Linked DNA regions of Medicago truncatula. The protein of the gene in region 1 binds, or shares a complex with, the protein of each later gene. Links are inferred from orthologs where the notes say so. Each region holds a gene or a part of one and is shown on either strand. Other genes may lie near its edges.

The links.
Region 2: the proteins of RNA polymerase II-associated protein 3 (region 1) and ruvB-like protein 1 are in contact, whole or in part, in a cryo-EM structure (PDB 9EQ2), measured with the Arabidopsis thaliana proteins. The link is inferred for Medicago truncatula from reciprocal best matches to the Arabidopsis thaliana genes TPR5 and RIN1. Residues at the interface, in NP_176039.2 of Arabidopsis thaliana: Tyr357, Glu360, Asn361, Arg364, Ser365; in NP_197625.1 of Arabidopsis thaliana: Pro74, Gln366, Ile367, Tyr368, Asp369, Glu372.

Annotation. Positions count from the first base shown.
Region 1 is NC_053042.1:41,376,828-41,384,797, forward strand, and holds the start of RNA polymerase II-associated protein 3, read right to left. Parts: upstream 3,198-7,970; 5' UTR 3,069-3,197; coding exon 3,066-3,068; intron 2,962-3,065; coding exon 2,875-2,961; coding exon of another isoform or gene 2,871-2,874; intron 2,473-2,870; coding exon 2,272-2,472; intron 2,011-2,271; coding exon 1,886-2,010; intron 1,681-1,885; coding exon 1,556-1,680; intron 1,455-1,555; coding exon 1,372-1,454; intron 196-1,371; coding exon 46-195; intron 1-45.
Region 2 is NC_053044.1:51,407,697-51,415,697, forward strand, and holds the start of ruvB-like protein 1, read right to left. Parts: upstream 3,222-8,001; 5' UTR 3,066-3,221; intron 2,367-3,065; 5' UTR 2,324-2,366; coding exon 2,234-2,323; intron 1,996-2,233; coding exon 1,807-1,995; intron 1,733-1,806; coding exon 1,601-1,732; intron 1,481-1,600; coding exon 1,331-1,480; intron 184-1,330; coding exon 28-183; intron 1-27. Other genes in the region: transcription factor ICE1, read right to left, coding at 5,752-5,826, 6,516-6,686, 7,914-8,001. UniProt on the Arabidopsis thaliana protein: Proposed core component of the chromatin remodeling INO80 complex which is involved in transcriptional regulation, DNA replication and probably DNA repair.

The DNA.
Region 1 (7,970 bases):
AACAATATATCTAAACATTTTGTTAAAAACTCAAGTTATTTGTACCTTTATTTGACAATGAGCTTCAGTTGGCCCTGACTTTTTAGTACCATGTGAAACAGAGTGGATGCTGCTGCTTCCATTAACTTTTGTCTCGGACTTTGCCACTTTTTCTACAGTGTTTCTTAGTGCTTTGGATGCTTTATGTAGAATTTCCTGGACGAAAGGAATTTTAAAAGTTTAATTTGTGCACTAGAGAGAAGTGAGGAAAAACATAGACATGAAACAAGAACATAGACACTAAGTATCCTAGTGTCTCGTCGTGAAGCCTGGTCATAAAGTAAGTGTCATGTCATGTTTTTGTGAAGTAGCCATTGCTGCCTGAATTGAGGGCATGAGACGGGTATATCAAAAGCCACTATGCCCAACAGACCATTAAATCCCCATTTATTTCCCTTTTTGTTTGACTGCCCCTCCAATTTTTAAGGTGATTTAAAGAATTTATACGGTTTCCACTCTGATTCTTTCCACCATTTTCTTGCAAACCCGTCCTTATCCAGCAGCAAATATGTTTTCTAGCATTCCCAAAATTATTCTGGCAGCCGCTTGAACTATGTTGAATTTGTTCATTCGAAACTTTGGTCATAGTGCAAGAAATAGATATAAGCTGCCTAAATAGATCCTAAACAATCCTTTCCTGGCATGAGCTATGTAACACCAGGTTTCACTAAAAAATTGCCCCATAAGGCCTGAATCTATGCTGACAAACAGAAGACTTCAAAATTAAGGAAAACACTTTTGACTAGTATATATCACTCGTTTTCATGGAGAAAAATCTCTATATATAACATTCATCATCTAAAATCGTATCATTTGCAGTTTGTAACTCTACATTACCCAAAATATTCCTCTAAACCAATGTTGCTAAACATCAGCGATGGCAACCTGACCAATTTGTGAAGGACGGTGGCGTCTTGACGGCATCAATAACACTGCTCTCAAGTATATTATCCCTCGTTCCGTTTCTAATGTTGTAATTCTCTATTCCATCCTAACTACTAAATCTAAGCCCCTTTAATCCCAAATCTTTCTTTAAGACATCAACTCGTTTGATTTGGGATTACATCTCAATGTATGCAATTATGTAATGATGGATGAACCTAAAATTTAAATTTTGTGCCAACTCTAACGGTCAACCCTTGTTTTCAATGCTCGTGGCCTATATGTACTGATGGATGAACCTAAAATTTAATTTTGCGCCAACTCGAACGGTCAACCCTTGTTTTCAATGCTCGTGGCCTATATAGCTATTAAAATAGAAAATATGAAGTATTAAAACCACGTTTCTTTCTAGTAGTCATGTAATAATACCGCAAAAACTTGTGTGCTTACCTTCTCATACAGTGACTTAGCATCGGCATACTGTTTCTTGACTTCTTGATTGTTAGGTTCCAACCTCATGGCAAACTCGGCATCTGTAATTTAGGGAAATAGATGGTTAATGAATTCAAATATCAGAATGCTTTTGTATTAAGAAAAAACATATGTATATGACTTGCATATTAAGTTCACACACCCTCCATGGATTCTTTATTTTTGCCAAGTTCTTTTCTAGCCGTTGCTCGCCGAGAGTATGCTTTTATGTACCGATCATCAAGATTTAAGGCCTCTGTACAGTCATCCTCAGCCTCTTGAAATCTGCTGACACATAGTTGAGGAATGAAACATAAAATCGTTAGCCAAAAAACTCTTTACGAGCATCAGTAAGGTGATATACCAATTAACACATGACAGTACGTGAAAAACTACTTTCTGATATTTAGGATCACACAATTGTAAAAGACCATAATTTAGTGAAAATTTTATGAATAAGCTATAATTCTTTCAAGACAAAATGCAATCTTGCCTTCTTAGCTTTATATGGGCCATTGCCCTATTTGCATAGGCTACAGCAGTGGGTGAGAAGGCAATGCTCCTTGAATAGCAATCAATAGCTTCCTTAAACTTCTTCTGTTTGAAAAACTCATTACCCTGTAATAGACGGATGGATTGCAGTATCTTCAGAATCACACAAGACGGCAACATAAAAATCAATCCATAATCTATTTATTATTGCTAAAATAATGATCTGTCGGGACACATGTCAGTTCATGACCATCTGATTTCCCACCCAATAACATTTATTTAGACCCATGTTATATAAAGGGTTTCAGTATTAGCAGTATCCAAACAAATTGATTTGCCCCACCCGCAAGACCAAAACAGTTAGAAGAGAGGGAAAAAAGCTCCTACCAGGTCTTTCTCAGAAGCAGCATCAGGAACATCTTCAGAAGCCAAACTGCTACTCACACGACTCAACACGTCATTATTTCTTGAGAAATCATACTGAGCTGAAGAACTTCTCACATGATCAACAGCAATAGTATCTCCTTTTGATCTATTCTCCACACCCATTGATCGATCACTCCGAGAAGATGAACCCTTTATGAATTTCTATGAAAATATAATACGTCACAAATGAATTAATACATCCATACATAAGCAAGCACATACATATATAGCATACCAATATATATGGAAAATAAAGAGGGTCCTTTTCCCATCAACACACCATTGAAACATAAAGTAAGCATGAAAGTTAAGAGAAGAACCAAGTAAATAAAAATCAATTCTAGGATAAAAAACTCCAACTTCTAGCTTCAAGTAGAATCAATTCGAGAGAAAAAATCAATTCTACTCCAGAGCAATCAAACATGTCATAATCAATTTTGGCCACCGCAAGAAGTGAAACCAAAGATACACTAATTCAAAACATTAATCTCACTTTTCATTACTCCTCACAAAGTTGCACATGTATAGTAATTGCAACAAGAAGGTTAAGATAAAATTACCAACATTTTCCTTATGTGACTTCGTTTTGGACGCTTTATCCTTTGTAGAAAGTTCCCAATCCTGCAAGTCGTTTAAGAAACCCTGAAAATCCTGAGAATACAAAAAATCAACGATTAGAAGTATAGGAAAAAGAAACGGTGAAGTATTAAAGTTGCTAAAATCAAATGGAACCGTGAAGAATTAATTAACTGTACCATTTTGTGATGTGATCGTAGCGGTGAAATGAAGTTCAGTTCTGCGTGCTTACAATGAAGTATGAACTATGGAAAAATTGCTTAGTTTGAGACGAAGGGGGTAAAGTAATGGAATGTTTAGAAAGAAGTTTCGCGAAGAAGTACCAATTATAATAAGCCCAAACATTATATTGGGCTAACTATGGTTTACGTGGCTCAAGGCCCAAAATATATTACTAACTTTCTAATATTTTTTTATCGCTATTACTTTTTCCATACTATCAGTTTCTCACGCACCCTATTTTTTTTCAAGAATACCTTTATTAGGATACATTATGTTGAGCTGAATGTTTTTTTTTTTTACTCATTAAGAAACAATTCTTAATCAAGTTTTTTTTATTTTACGATCGAACTCTAGATTGCTATGGTTTAATTCCCCTAAGAAATGCAGGGCTAACACCCAAAAAAAATTAAAAATTAGTTGAATCTCATTAAAATAAGATTAATACATAACAATAGCAACAATATTGAACATTATAAAAAAAAATATCTTATTTTGTCCTTGTATAAAAAAAGTATTTCGATGTAAAAAAAATCTTCCAATTTACCTTTCATTTAATTAGTTTATTTTTATCTTTTCATCAACTTTTACCAATAAAACGAAAAGATGAACACGTTAATATGCGTCTTGATCTCAATTACTATAAAATAGTATATCTTTAAGCAGTTTTACATATTTCAAACAAGAAAAACACTTGTCTTAAAATAAGTGTACAAAATCATCTACGCTGGAGACATCCATTTTTAAATACTTAAATAAGTCTTACGGGAATACATCATTCATTTATAATTTTTTAATAGTAGTACATACTTCATCCGTCTCATAATAACTGAGTCATTTTGTAACACCCAGTTTTCCCAACGTAAAAATTTCATTTATTTAATCAGAGTAATTTACATAAACGGAATGTCACATTTCTTTTCTTAAAATCATAAACGGAATAATTAATTAATTATCCTTCAAAATTCAATAACATAATATTTAATAATTCACAGCGGAATTTATTCGAACATCTAAAATAATTTTGGCACGAAGGCCTCATCAAAGTATCTCATAAAAATCCAATTAACAACTTAATCATGTAAATTCATAAGTAATACGTAAGGAATAGAAAAGCATGCAACAAAGTTTCCATCCCGTTACGTTAAGAAATCGATTGCAAGGTTCTCTTCTCGTTCCTCCTCTTCTCTAGGTTTTCTCCATCTTTCTCCAAAAACTGGTTGTACGTGAAAAACTATTCTGACTTCTCACTTTTCTCTTTTTATAACCTTAACCTACCTATTTTCTCTTAACTCCACTTATTCTCTTAAACTCTTATAAATTCCCAAATCAGCCCCCAAAATATCAATATTCTATTTTAATATATATATAAAATACTTCTACACCAAATAACAAATATATTTCTACACTAGATAATATAATATAATATACTACTAAAACACCAACCTATAACACAAAAATAACACACATCATCATAAATCAAATAAATTATTTAAAAAGACTCTAAACTCAATAAAATAATCAAATAAAACAAATAGTTCAAAGAGGGCGTTACACATTTCACTTTTTAATACAATATTATTAATGATTTTTTTTCCTTTATAACTCTAATTAATACTATTTCGTCATTTTCAATTCAATATATTCCACTTTTCATTCGAATGCATTAATACTTAACAAGTGCATTTAAAACTATTTTTCTCTCCTTCATTTATACATTTTTCTTAATACATGTGAAATGAGCTTTTGGCTCTGTTAATGCGGGACGGAAGGAGTATAATTACTCAATCCTTCAACCCAACATATCACACAAATCACTAATTAACTATAAAAAAATTATACTATTATTACACATCAAATTTTTAACATTCAAAGAGCGTGGATCCCACTTAAAAATAGGATCTTGAGTGAGATACTTGGTCCGATAAGACCCCAAAAAAATATCCTGTCAAAGGAGGTACGTAATAGGCATCCAGCCGATTAAGCCTCTCCCATTGGAATGGTTTACCATCCTAAAACAAAGCACACTTGAACTTTGAATTTGTTTTGATAAGTCCTCTTTTGATTTTGTAAAGTGAGGAATGTTAACAACACTCATTTTTGAGTATTCTCTAACATTCACTCTTTCATTGGATAAAACCCATGTATGTTCCACCATTTTATGTGGGTTCAATTTTCAAAGTCTAGATCTACAATGATTTAAACTAATAAGAGAGAGTGTTGCTACCGTTCCTCTCATAAAGTATAGCCAGGCTCTCGGCTATGTCTTGAGGGTGGGGAATGCATTTTCTCGGGAAATTAAAGTTTGGGTTAGGTTAGGGTGACGGTGGATGTAATTTCAGGTCCTAGAAATAAATAAGGTTGAACAACAATGGTTAGACCTCAAATAAGAAGAGACAGTGAAAACTGTCTACAGTCACGGCACAATGATAGAGTAGTAGGGTCGTGGATGACGGATGCAAGCTCTGTAGTCTGCATAAAAGAGGTGCAGTGGTCTTGTCAACATGATTGCCACCACTGTTATGTAGTATTTGTGTTATTATTTGCCTTTCATTTCAATTCAATTCAAGTAAATGAAAAAAGCATCTCCCTCTCTCCCTCACTCTTTCTTTTACGTACAACACCTCACTCTCAGGGCCCCTTTCTTTATCATCTTCATGTTCATTCAACCACTCAACTCAATCTTAAAAAACTAACAATAAATCAATCACTCACACATTCAATCAATCACACATCACTCCCCCCATTTTTCGAATTTCTCTTTCCCTTCACTCACTCATTGTCATTACTATACCACCACTACCATTTACCACCACTATTCAACAATACTTTCATATTTTTATTAATAAAAATACAATATTGCTCATCAATAATAAAAATAGCAATTAGAGTTCAAATTTAAATAAGTTCCCAATATTGCTGCTCTTTGAGAATTATTTGAGAAACTTAATCGTTTTCTAGTGAACACATAAACTTAAATTTTTTAATTTGGCAAAAAAAATAAAAAATCACAATAGATGCAATTATACAAAGGTAGACATGTGATTATAAATCTGATGCCAAAATAAAGCATGTATGATTAGTGTGTTTTTTTAGACAGGTGTCGTCGAAAACTAAGACAAACAATTTTAAGATTATGAGTTGATAAAGACATCTAACATAGCAGCAATGTCACTTAAGCAGAGCCGTTTCTAAAGTTTTGGTGGCAAGCCTATAATTCTAATCTTAAATAACAGGTAATAAAAAGAATTAATTTTGCAATTTTGGCCTCCTAAGTATCAAAACAACAATTTTTTTTATTTTTTTTATTTTTTTAATTTAAAAATTGATTTTTTGGTTTTTAAATTTTTTTAATTAATTAATTACACACGTGGCCTACCACGTAGGCGTTGAATAAGTCAAAATTGATCAAAAAGACCAAAGATGCAAAGGGGCTAAATCTTAGGGGCCAAAATTGTGGTTTCTATATTTAGGGAGCCAAAATTGCAAGTTTTTGAAAGTTAAGGGGGGAAAAGTACACTTTAACCTTAATTTTTTTTTAAAGTGTGAACATAATTTACTCTAACATGGTAGTTTAACTACATTACAAAATTATCTAATAAAAAAATCAAAATTCATAAAAAAAAAAAATCATTGAATTAATTATTTAATATTCAAATTTTCACAAAGGTGTTGATTTTTCAAAGAGTTGGAGAAGGGTCACTCTAACCGGGGATAATAAATGGATGGGTAAAACATAAATCATCATATTAATCAATTTAATGACAAAAACTTTTTCCTTTCTGACGAGGTCAATCAAATGGATCCAATAAATATCAAAATCTCCTTTCATAAAACATATCTAATGATAGACAACTCTCAATAAACTTCAGTTGCTATATAAATACATACTTTTATTTATAAATTTAAGTATTATATAAATAGTTGTTTAAATAACACACATTTATCTAACAGTCACGCATTTGTATGATATATGACCACCTTGCAAGATTATGAGCAATATGGGTCTTAACTTGGTGTGGTAACGCACTTATGAATGAATTAAAAGAGTCCAAAACGCCTTTAGAATCAAAAGAGAAAATGACTTCCTTCAAATCCAATTCCCACATTCATTCAATAATTGATAGCAAACCCAATGCATCTCCAAAAGTAACATCAGCAACTAATCTTATAATATGTGAGGATCCAGATCAATGTGATATTAGAGTCTCGTCTGAAAAAGTGGATGCATATCATATGAATGTAATAAAAAGAGTGAGCAAGGAAGAAAACCGCATAACCATAGAAACACTATAACTAAAAATCAACCTATTACTCTCACCTCCTCACCTTTCAATCCCAAACTTGTTGTATCTCTCCGAGAAATATGCATCAATATTTCACATTTTGAATCCACTCTAATAATTCGTCTTACACCATAGTAATTAGTCTCATAATTAATATTCGAACTTGTATACAGTAGGTACACTAGTAATTCCACAAATAAGCAGATTGGACTATTGACAACAACCTAGCGTGGCCCATTTGCATCCAACCAGGGCCCTCGTCTACTCCAGTCACATTCCAAATCTAAGTGTGATTTTAATTTCAGAATTAATTAAGTTTTTTTTTTTTTTTTTTAAAAAAAATGTCACTTTTCCAAAACTATTTTTATAACTATTAATATCATAAAAGGGAAAAAAATTATGTTTTTCAATGATTCTTTTTTTGACTCATAATAAATTAAATATGGATTTTTTTTTAATACCATCAATACATGAGGAATTTTAATATTTTTTTAAGGAAGGAATTTTGATATTTAATATATAGAGTGGGGATGTCTGTTATTATGATTTTTTTTTATCTATTCACATTTATGAAAACAA
Region 2 (8,001 bases), on another chromosome or scaffold:
TATAATTATGGTTTTCAAATCAAATACCTGAACAATCTCTTTTTTCTTGTGAACCTCTCCCTTGGGAAGTGGAACATACTCCTCAGCTTCAAGGTCAAACTCAGTAGCAAAAGCATCACTTCGGCCAACCCTTTTCACAGCCCCACTATTTGCCTCAATATATATAACATCCCCGACAGCTACCTGTACAATGTTCATAAGTCTCATGTATCAAAGCTGTAGAATGTTTGACACCAATATTTGTATAGATTTAAAATGAAAATAACTTCCCAGTTCCCGCCAAAATATAAAACAAAAAGTTATAAAATAGGGTAAATTACACTCACCTCCCTTGAAGTTTTCTTAAATAGCACTAACACCCCCTCTAGTTTTGAAATAAACATTAACCTCCCTTCTCATGTAACACCGTTAGCTTTCTGTTATTTTCATGACAAGAATTTAGAGATTAGCTACCATAATTTGGCTACCCACGACTGATTTCACACCTTCATTCAATTCACATCAATCCCCACCTTTTTCTTCTTCTTCTAAATTAACAAATTTCTCTTGATTTTACATCTTGCAATGATTTCAACAATATATTCTACTAATGAGTTCAGTTCAGATTTTCAATCGGTTTGTTTAGATTTCTTTGATTGATGCACTTAATTATTCTTCATCCTCTTGAATTTGGTTTATCTATTTTTTCAACCTAGAATTTCAGTTTCAATCTATCTAATTCCTTCTCCAATTCTGCAAAAGCCACGTTAAGCAATTCATCCAATTTTATTATGTTGATGTGAATTACAATCACTTCCTTCATCCTAAAATTGAATATTTTTTATGTTGAGCATCAAACTTCACGCCTCAAAAGCTGAGGTTTTATTTCAGTTCTTTCCATTAATCCATTTTTCACTAGGTAGAAGATAATCATTGTTATTCCTTTTCCATATTTATTTATTTTTTATATTTCATGTAATCCTTCCATTAGTCCATTTTCCACTAAATAGTATGAAGCATGTGAGTATAAAGAAGTTCGTTGAACAGCCTGGTGTGGCACCGTGGCCATTATTGTTTGGCGTTGTATGCAAATTGTAAAGCATAGATGAATGGTAGGGGGAGTAGTTTTTTCGACAAGGAAGCTAAGTTAACAGAGAACCAACGGTGTTACATGACAGGGGTGGTGTTTGTAGATTTGATTAAAAATTAAGGGAGATTAGTGTTTAGTTTTAAACTAGAGGGGGTGTTAGTGCTATTTAAGAAGACCTCAAGAGAGGTGAGTGTAATTTACCCTATAAAATATAAACACATGAACTTTCAAAAAGAGAAAAGAATAACAGCAAAACCAAACCTTTTCCTTGATCAAGGCATCATATATCGTGGGGTCCAACTTTAGTTGCTTGGTTCCTTTCACTGTCTTCAATCCAATTATCACATGGCTAATACTCTTACCATAACCTCCTGTTATACTCTCAGTTTCTTCAGGAGAGAGCTCGGTCACCTTGCACAGGACCAAAATTACATCAAAAAAACTTGATATAAAAAAAATTGCAGCAGACGAAGTAGTCAACAAACCAATCCCAGATTCCCATTTTTAACAAGTGAATCACAGCGAACTCACCTCGCCTTCATATACTTCCTTGTTTTCCTTAATACGTAGACCGATAGCCCGTCGAAAATTTTCCATAAGAACCTCAGTCTTCTTTACTTCCGTTGAGTATACTTCCGAACCAACCATTGGGCAGAATGGAACCTACAAAGTGGTATAAATAAATCTTATAACGTCACAGAAACAAAAGAATACAAGAATGATTTTCGGTGCAAAACCTTGGTCCCAAGCTCCTGACATATCCCAAGTGCTAATGCAGTCTTTCCGGTTCCGGGGGGCCCGGCGAGAAGGAGTGCCTTCCCAGCCATCTTCTTCTGGCGTATCATGTCGACCACAAGGCCACACGCTTCTCTTGCATCAGCTTGTCCCACAAACCCAGAAGCAAAAGGCACTGCTTTTCCACTGACCTGAACAATAACCAAACCAAAAAACAAGTAGTTGTTAACTTAAAATTGAAGCATTCAAAACATTTGAGCATGGCAAGAAATAAGCAAAAGGGTTTGGTTTCACCCGCAACAAACAGGCATGTGTAACACATAAAATCTGTGCTCATTTGGATCTATTGTTAAGGTTCAAATTTAGCTATTATTTTCACACACAGAAAACAGAGAAAAAAAACTTATTAAATTGAGGAAGAGAACAAACCTCAAGACCTAGGCCTTTAATGTGAGTGTGAGTAGCAACACGCTGTTTCTTTGTTGTCGACTGAACCTCTTCAATTTTCATCTTCTCCATCTCTCTCTAGATAAGGTTTTCAGTTTTCACTTTGCAATGGAGACTGAGACACAAAGATAGGATTAGTAACATTTAAAGAACTAGGGGCGACAAAATTGCAAATCAGTGAGCCACTAGTTGAAATTGAACCAAGTGACACAGATTCTATTGAACAATTTCAAAAAATTCATACCATACCTTAGAAAACCCAAAAAAAAAATCACAATACTATCAAATTAACATAATTTCACAATACTACAATAAGATACACTCAGCAAACAAACAGAACCATAGAGCACGCAGAATTGTGCCTACTTTATCTTCTCAGACCCCGACAAAAAGCCTAAAGACTTAAAATCAGAAGTATAACTCACAACAATAACAACCAAATTGTGATGTAAATACTATAATAAACGTTCATAAGCTTTGCATATGGACATATAGGAAATTTGAAATATATATTGCAAAAATTCAACAGAAATTTTAATATTTTCCCTCATCTTTCTAAATATACACATGACAAAGAACTCATAGATAAAATGCATTACAGAACTCAAACAAAGTATGAAACTATGAACAAATTCTCAATTAACAATTAAAACATTTAGCTGTTATGAATGATAATCCTATATGTTGGAAACAGAGAAACAAAATAAAAACTTGAAACTAGAAATCATTTGCTTATAACTTAAAACTCGATAGAAAAAAAAAAATTTTAAAAAAAAAGAGCAAAAAAAAAGCGATGAAATGAACAAGTTTGAACCTGTTGAAGTAGCTACAGCAATGGCGACGTAATCGCTGTCCAGTGAGCTGAGAGGGTTCCGTGAGTGCACCGTCGGCGAGCTCTCGGCGCCGGAATCGCTTTTTCTTACGGCGGTAGCGGCTAGGTTTAAGGGTAGAGAGAGAAAGAAGAAAATGTTTAGAGTGCAGAGAGAGTGTAAAACAAAACGAGAAAGAAGAGAGGGTTAGTTTATTAAACAAATGTTCATTTTTTTAATTTAAAATATCAACCCTTTGGATGTTTAGTTCCTCTCAAAAAAACAAAAAACTTTTTTGAAGAATAATTGTCATATGTCTTACCTCGGTACCTTCAGAGTGCGTTTGATTTGCTAAAAAACGATGGACAGTATAGAACAACTCTAGTTGTCCAGTGTTTGATTTGTAAAATTGTTTCAGGTACAGGAAAAACTGGAGGCAAGGGACAGGACAAAAACTCATATTTTTGTCCCTCACCAAACTACAGCACAACTTTTTGTCCCACGTACAAGTTGTCTAAAATACCAAAATAGCATTTTGTCCCTCAAAAATCGTATAAAACAAAAAATTACTCAATGACATAAAAAATTTGTTCTATGCTGTTCTGCCTTGTATTGTAGTGTTCTATCTTGTATTGTTCTGTCCAGTACTTGCTGTTTTGCAAACCAAACACACTATGTCTTACATGCGTATCTTAAATAGATTAAATGAAACATACTTAAACTCGATTTTGTGATAGTTTTGCGGCGCATGTGATTAAAAGGAGGGTGGGTATAATAGAGGATTGAGATTGAAACAAATGTAGAAGGCTAATCACTCCCATTGAATTAAAAGGGTTCAAAGAACAATTTTAAAAGTTAACTATATTCTCTATAAATTGTTATAATACCCCCTATGAAAGTTTCTCTTATATAACCGCCCCTATGAAAGTTAAAATTGAAAGAATGATTATTATAATAGAATACATATATTACGACTAAAGTATGAAACTAAGAACAAATTCCCCTGTTTTAAGAAAATTTTCTTACAATTTCATTTATGTTTATCTTTCTCCATTATCTTATCATATACTAAGTCATTCAAAACATGTCAAATTATCGATCTTTTAGTTCAAAAGTATGGTGGAGAGACCAAAACGATTAGATTTTGAAATAGAGGGACGATGAAAAAATAGGGACTAAAATTTAAATTAAGCTTATAATCAAAATATGTAATGTATCACATGATATGTAACGTATCACATTCTTTCAAAAATTATGTAACGCATCACATGAAAGTCAACCGAGAGAATTCAATATTAGGGTCCGCTTGGTACACAAGATATGATAGACAAGTGATATGATAAGAAGTTGGATATAATAGTGATAGGATAGTCACTTATGATATTATGTGTTTGGTAGACCACATTTTTTTTTAAAAGGTGGACCATCGGACAGAGATATGATAATATATATATATATTATATTATAGATTACAAATTTATCATGTAAACAAATATGAAGGCCTTTTATCATGTAAATAAATATAAAGCACCTCCTTGAAATCAGTTGATAAAATCATTATACATGTGAAGGTCTTTTACTATGGACTTGAAAAATTGGCCATAAAACTCAACCTTTCACATCACAAGATATTGGTTCCAATTGAAACTCCATGGAGATTCCAAAGCACTCTCCACGCCAATTAGACGATGTCTAAGGTGCACGATGTAAGCAAGTCAAAAAATGTATGTGAGTTATTAAGCATTGGAACTTAGGATGGTGTAAAAAGAATACTCCTTAATATTCACATTATTCACCACTTTGATGGTTTAAATCCCCAATACATGTCACGGCAAAAGACCATATTGTCATCAACTTTACTAAGAAGTGTCGTTAGTGTTTAATGGACATGTAGTAGTTTCTATTGTGAGGTCTATCTACTTTACTGATTGCCAAAACCATATTATTATCTGAACATATTTGGATCAACTACCTTAAATTTCAAGTACTTTAATTCAATTTAGATCGATTAATTATCCTCCTCTATCTAAATGATTCTTATCTCATACTAGTAAAGATTTTATGCAAGATTGCATAGAATGTAAAAATATTTTGAAAAACAAAAGTGTGACATTTAATCATTGTGCTCATAAAGCATTTTTCTTTAAACTGGTAAAAACTTCATATAAGATTGCACTAAAATGGTAAAAAATATCAAATAAAAAATTGAATATTTTCATGTGTCGTTAGGAAAAAGACATTTCCTAAAATACAAATACATTTCAGGAGGTCAATAAGTTATTCATCATAGAATAGCAAACAATAGAGGCAACTTCAACGTGAATAACCAATTCAATCTATTTAACGCAATATTAGGGAGTTTTACCACAACGCCTCAAATTTATGAACTTTGGTTATTTTTTGGTCCAATTACGAGACCAATTAAAAAATAAAAATTAGCGTCACTCAACAGGAAAATGAGGCAAACAAAAATTTATTCAATGACTTCAAAGTAATAAAGTATGATGTGCTCAAATTCATAAAAAAAAAAAATACAAAACCATAAGCTTTAAACCATTTTGATATTGGTTTGGGCATAACTTTCAATACAAAATAATAAAAATGTAAAATAATTTAGAAACCTCATGCTACAACAAAGGCAACTAATTTATCTGTAAAGATAGAATTTGTCCATAACTTAACTCACATCATTCAATGAAAATCCAATGCCTTCAACAATAATGCTTTAATTTGTACGGGGGTCAATTCTTGGTCTTTGCTGTGTTGCTGAAAAGAAACATGAAAAATTAAAATCAATATAACAAAACTTAGGATGACAATGACGGGTTAATAATGTGTGAGCACCACATTCAAACACCAAATATTTATTATTAACAACCAATTAAAAATCTCATAAGACATTTGACCTACTTCGTATTATTCTTCTTCGAAAGAAAAAAGCAAAGATGATTCGCTAGTTCGTATTATTTACAAAGATCTTTTGTAAATATTATCTCATTAAAATTGAGATTTTTTCTCATTTAAAAGATATATTTTTATTGTAAGAAGTAAAAAAGCTTTAATGTTCATTCATGGAATAATGGAAACAAAGAATGACAAGAGTAAATCTTGAAATTATAAATCTAATGATCAAAATTTACTCATATAATCTCAGAAAATAATTTTATGATAGTCAATACAAACATCCACATTATCCATATGATTACTTAAGTTCGCAAATTATTGCAAAAAAACATAAATGTAAGTGCAACTCTGAACTAAATAATTGTTGGTATGCTTTAAAAAGTCAAGTTACCATAGATAGATCGTACACCATTCATTACATTGTTCTCATGATCACATGTTAGCATCTAAAATAAATTTTGAAAGAATAATTAATGGAAATTATAAAATAAATGACATGGTAATCGAATAAGAAATTTTATAAAGTATAGTATTGAAAAATAAATGTATACCTCAGCTTTGAACACATCTAGAGAAAAATCATTAAAACAGCTTATGTTAGCCTGGTGAACATCCAATCCAAGGCTATCCAATGCCTTCATAATCGATGCCAAAACACCTGGTTTGTTGGCACAAAACATATGGATGTTGACAATTCCCTCTTCCCTTACCCTAACATCTACCTGCAAATACCATCATAGTATTATTTATACTTATATATTTGTTTTATACATGTATATAAAGTGAATAAACTGTTTATTTGGGGTGGTTTTTCCTTTCATTTTTATCATTATTTTAAACTGTTTTATCCTTTTTATAATTTTACTTGTATTGTTAATTTAAAAAATTGTCAAATTTTTAAAACAATAATTGAATACCCTTAAAATAAGAACAACCTCGTTACAATATATGAGCGATATTTAATACTATAAAAAGAGCTTATTTCAATCTTATTTTTATAATATCTAATCATTTTTTTTTTTAAATATTGATCATTATACATATCAAATTATCTATAAAATTAAGTGTGATAGAAAATCGGACAGACGGTTATGTTAGTGCTCATCTTTTTGCTAACTAATATTTGTTACACTAAAATTAAGTGTGGTTGGCATTGACACAGTGTTTGACTTAATTACACTTTTGGTTTCTCTATTTAATCAAATTCACAAAAGTAGTCCATCTTTTTTAAAATTGAACTATCTAGTCCTTCAATATTCACATTTATTACAATTTTAGTCTCAACATATATTTCATGCCCCCAAAATAGGTAATTTGTTACCCTAGGGTGGTGGTTTATTGCTCAAATGTTAAATTCCAAGATAAAGTATCACTTTTTGGAGTAATTTTTTTTTTTTTTTTTTTACATAAAAATAATCGATTTTGTGGCAACAAGTATTAGTTTAGACAAAAACTACAACAAATGTGAAAATAGAAGAACTAGAAAATTCATTTTAAAAAAAAGGGATGATTTCACATTTAGTTAAATATGGGGTCAACAATACAATTAAATCAACCTATTTCTATAAATATTTTTTATCGAATTTAGATATCAAGTGAAAGTATCCAAAATGAACAAAAAAAAGTTTCATACATGCTTCAGTTTTCAATTATAGTTATCAATTGCATGTCTTGTCCAATCTTTTAGATTTTTTAGTAAGTTATATTACACGCTTTGTAATTGTGAACAAAAACGCAAATACAATTCTCATGTGTGTGCGTGGGCGCGCGCGTGTGTGTATGTAATATTTCGCACAAAATACACCAAAAAAATCCAAAATATAAGACTCCTAATGATGTCAACAAAACAGTGAATGAAATGTCTTCATTTTACATATTAATGTATATTTTGAGTGTAGTAAGCATTTATTGATATGGAATAAGAACTTTCTATTAAAGTAAATAAGTACCTTTGTTGGTTGGTTTTTAAGACCTGACACATTGTTAGGACATAACTTTTCTTTCATTTGAACTGGAAGGGCTGACATGGTAGATGTC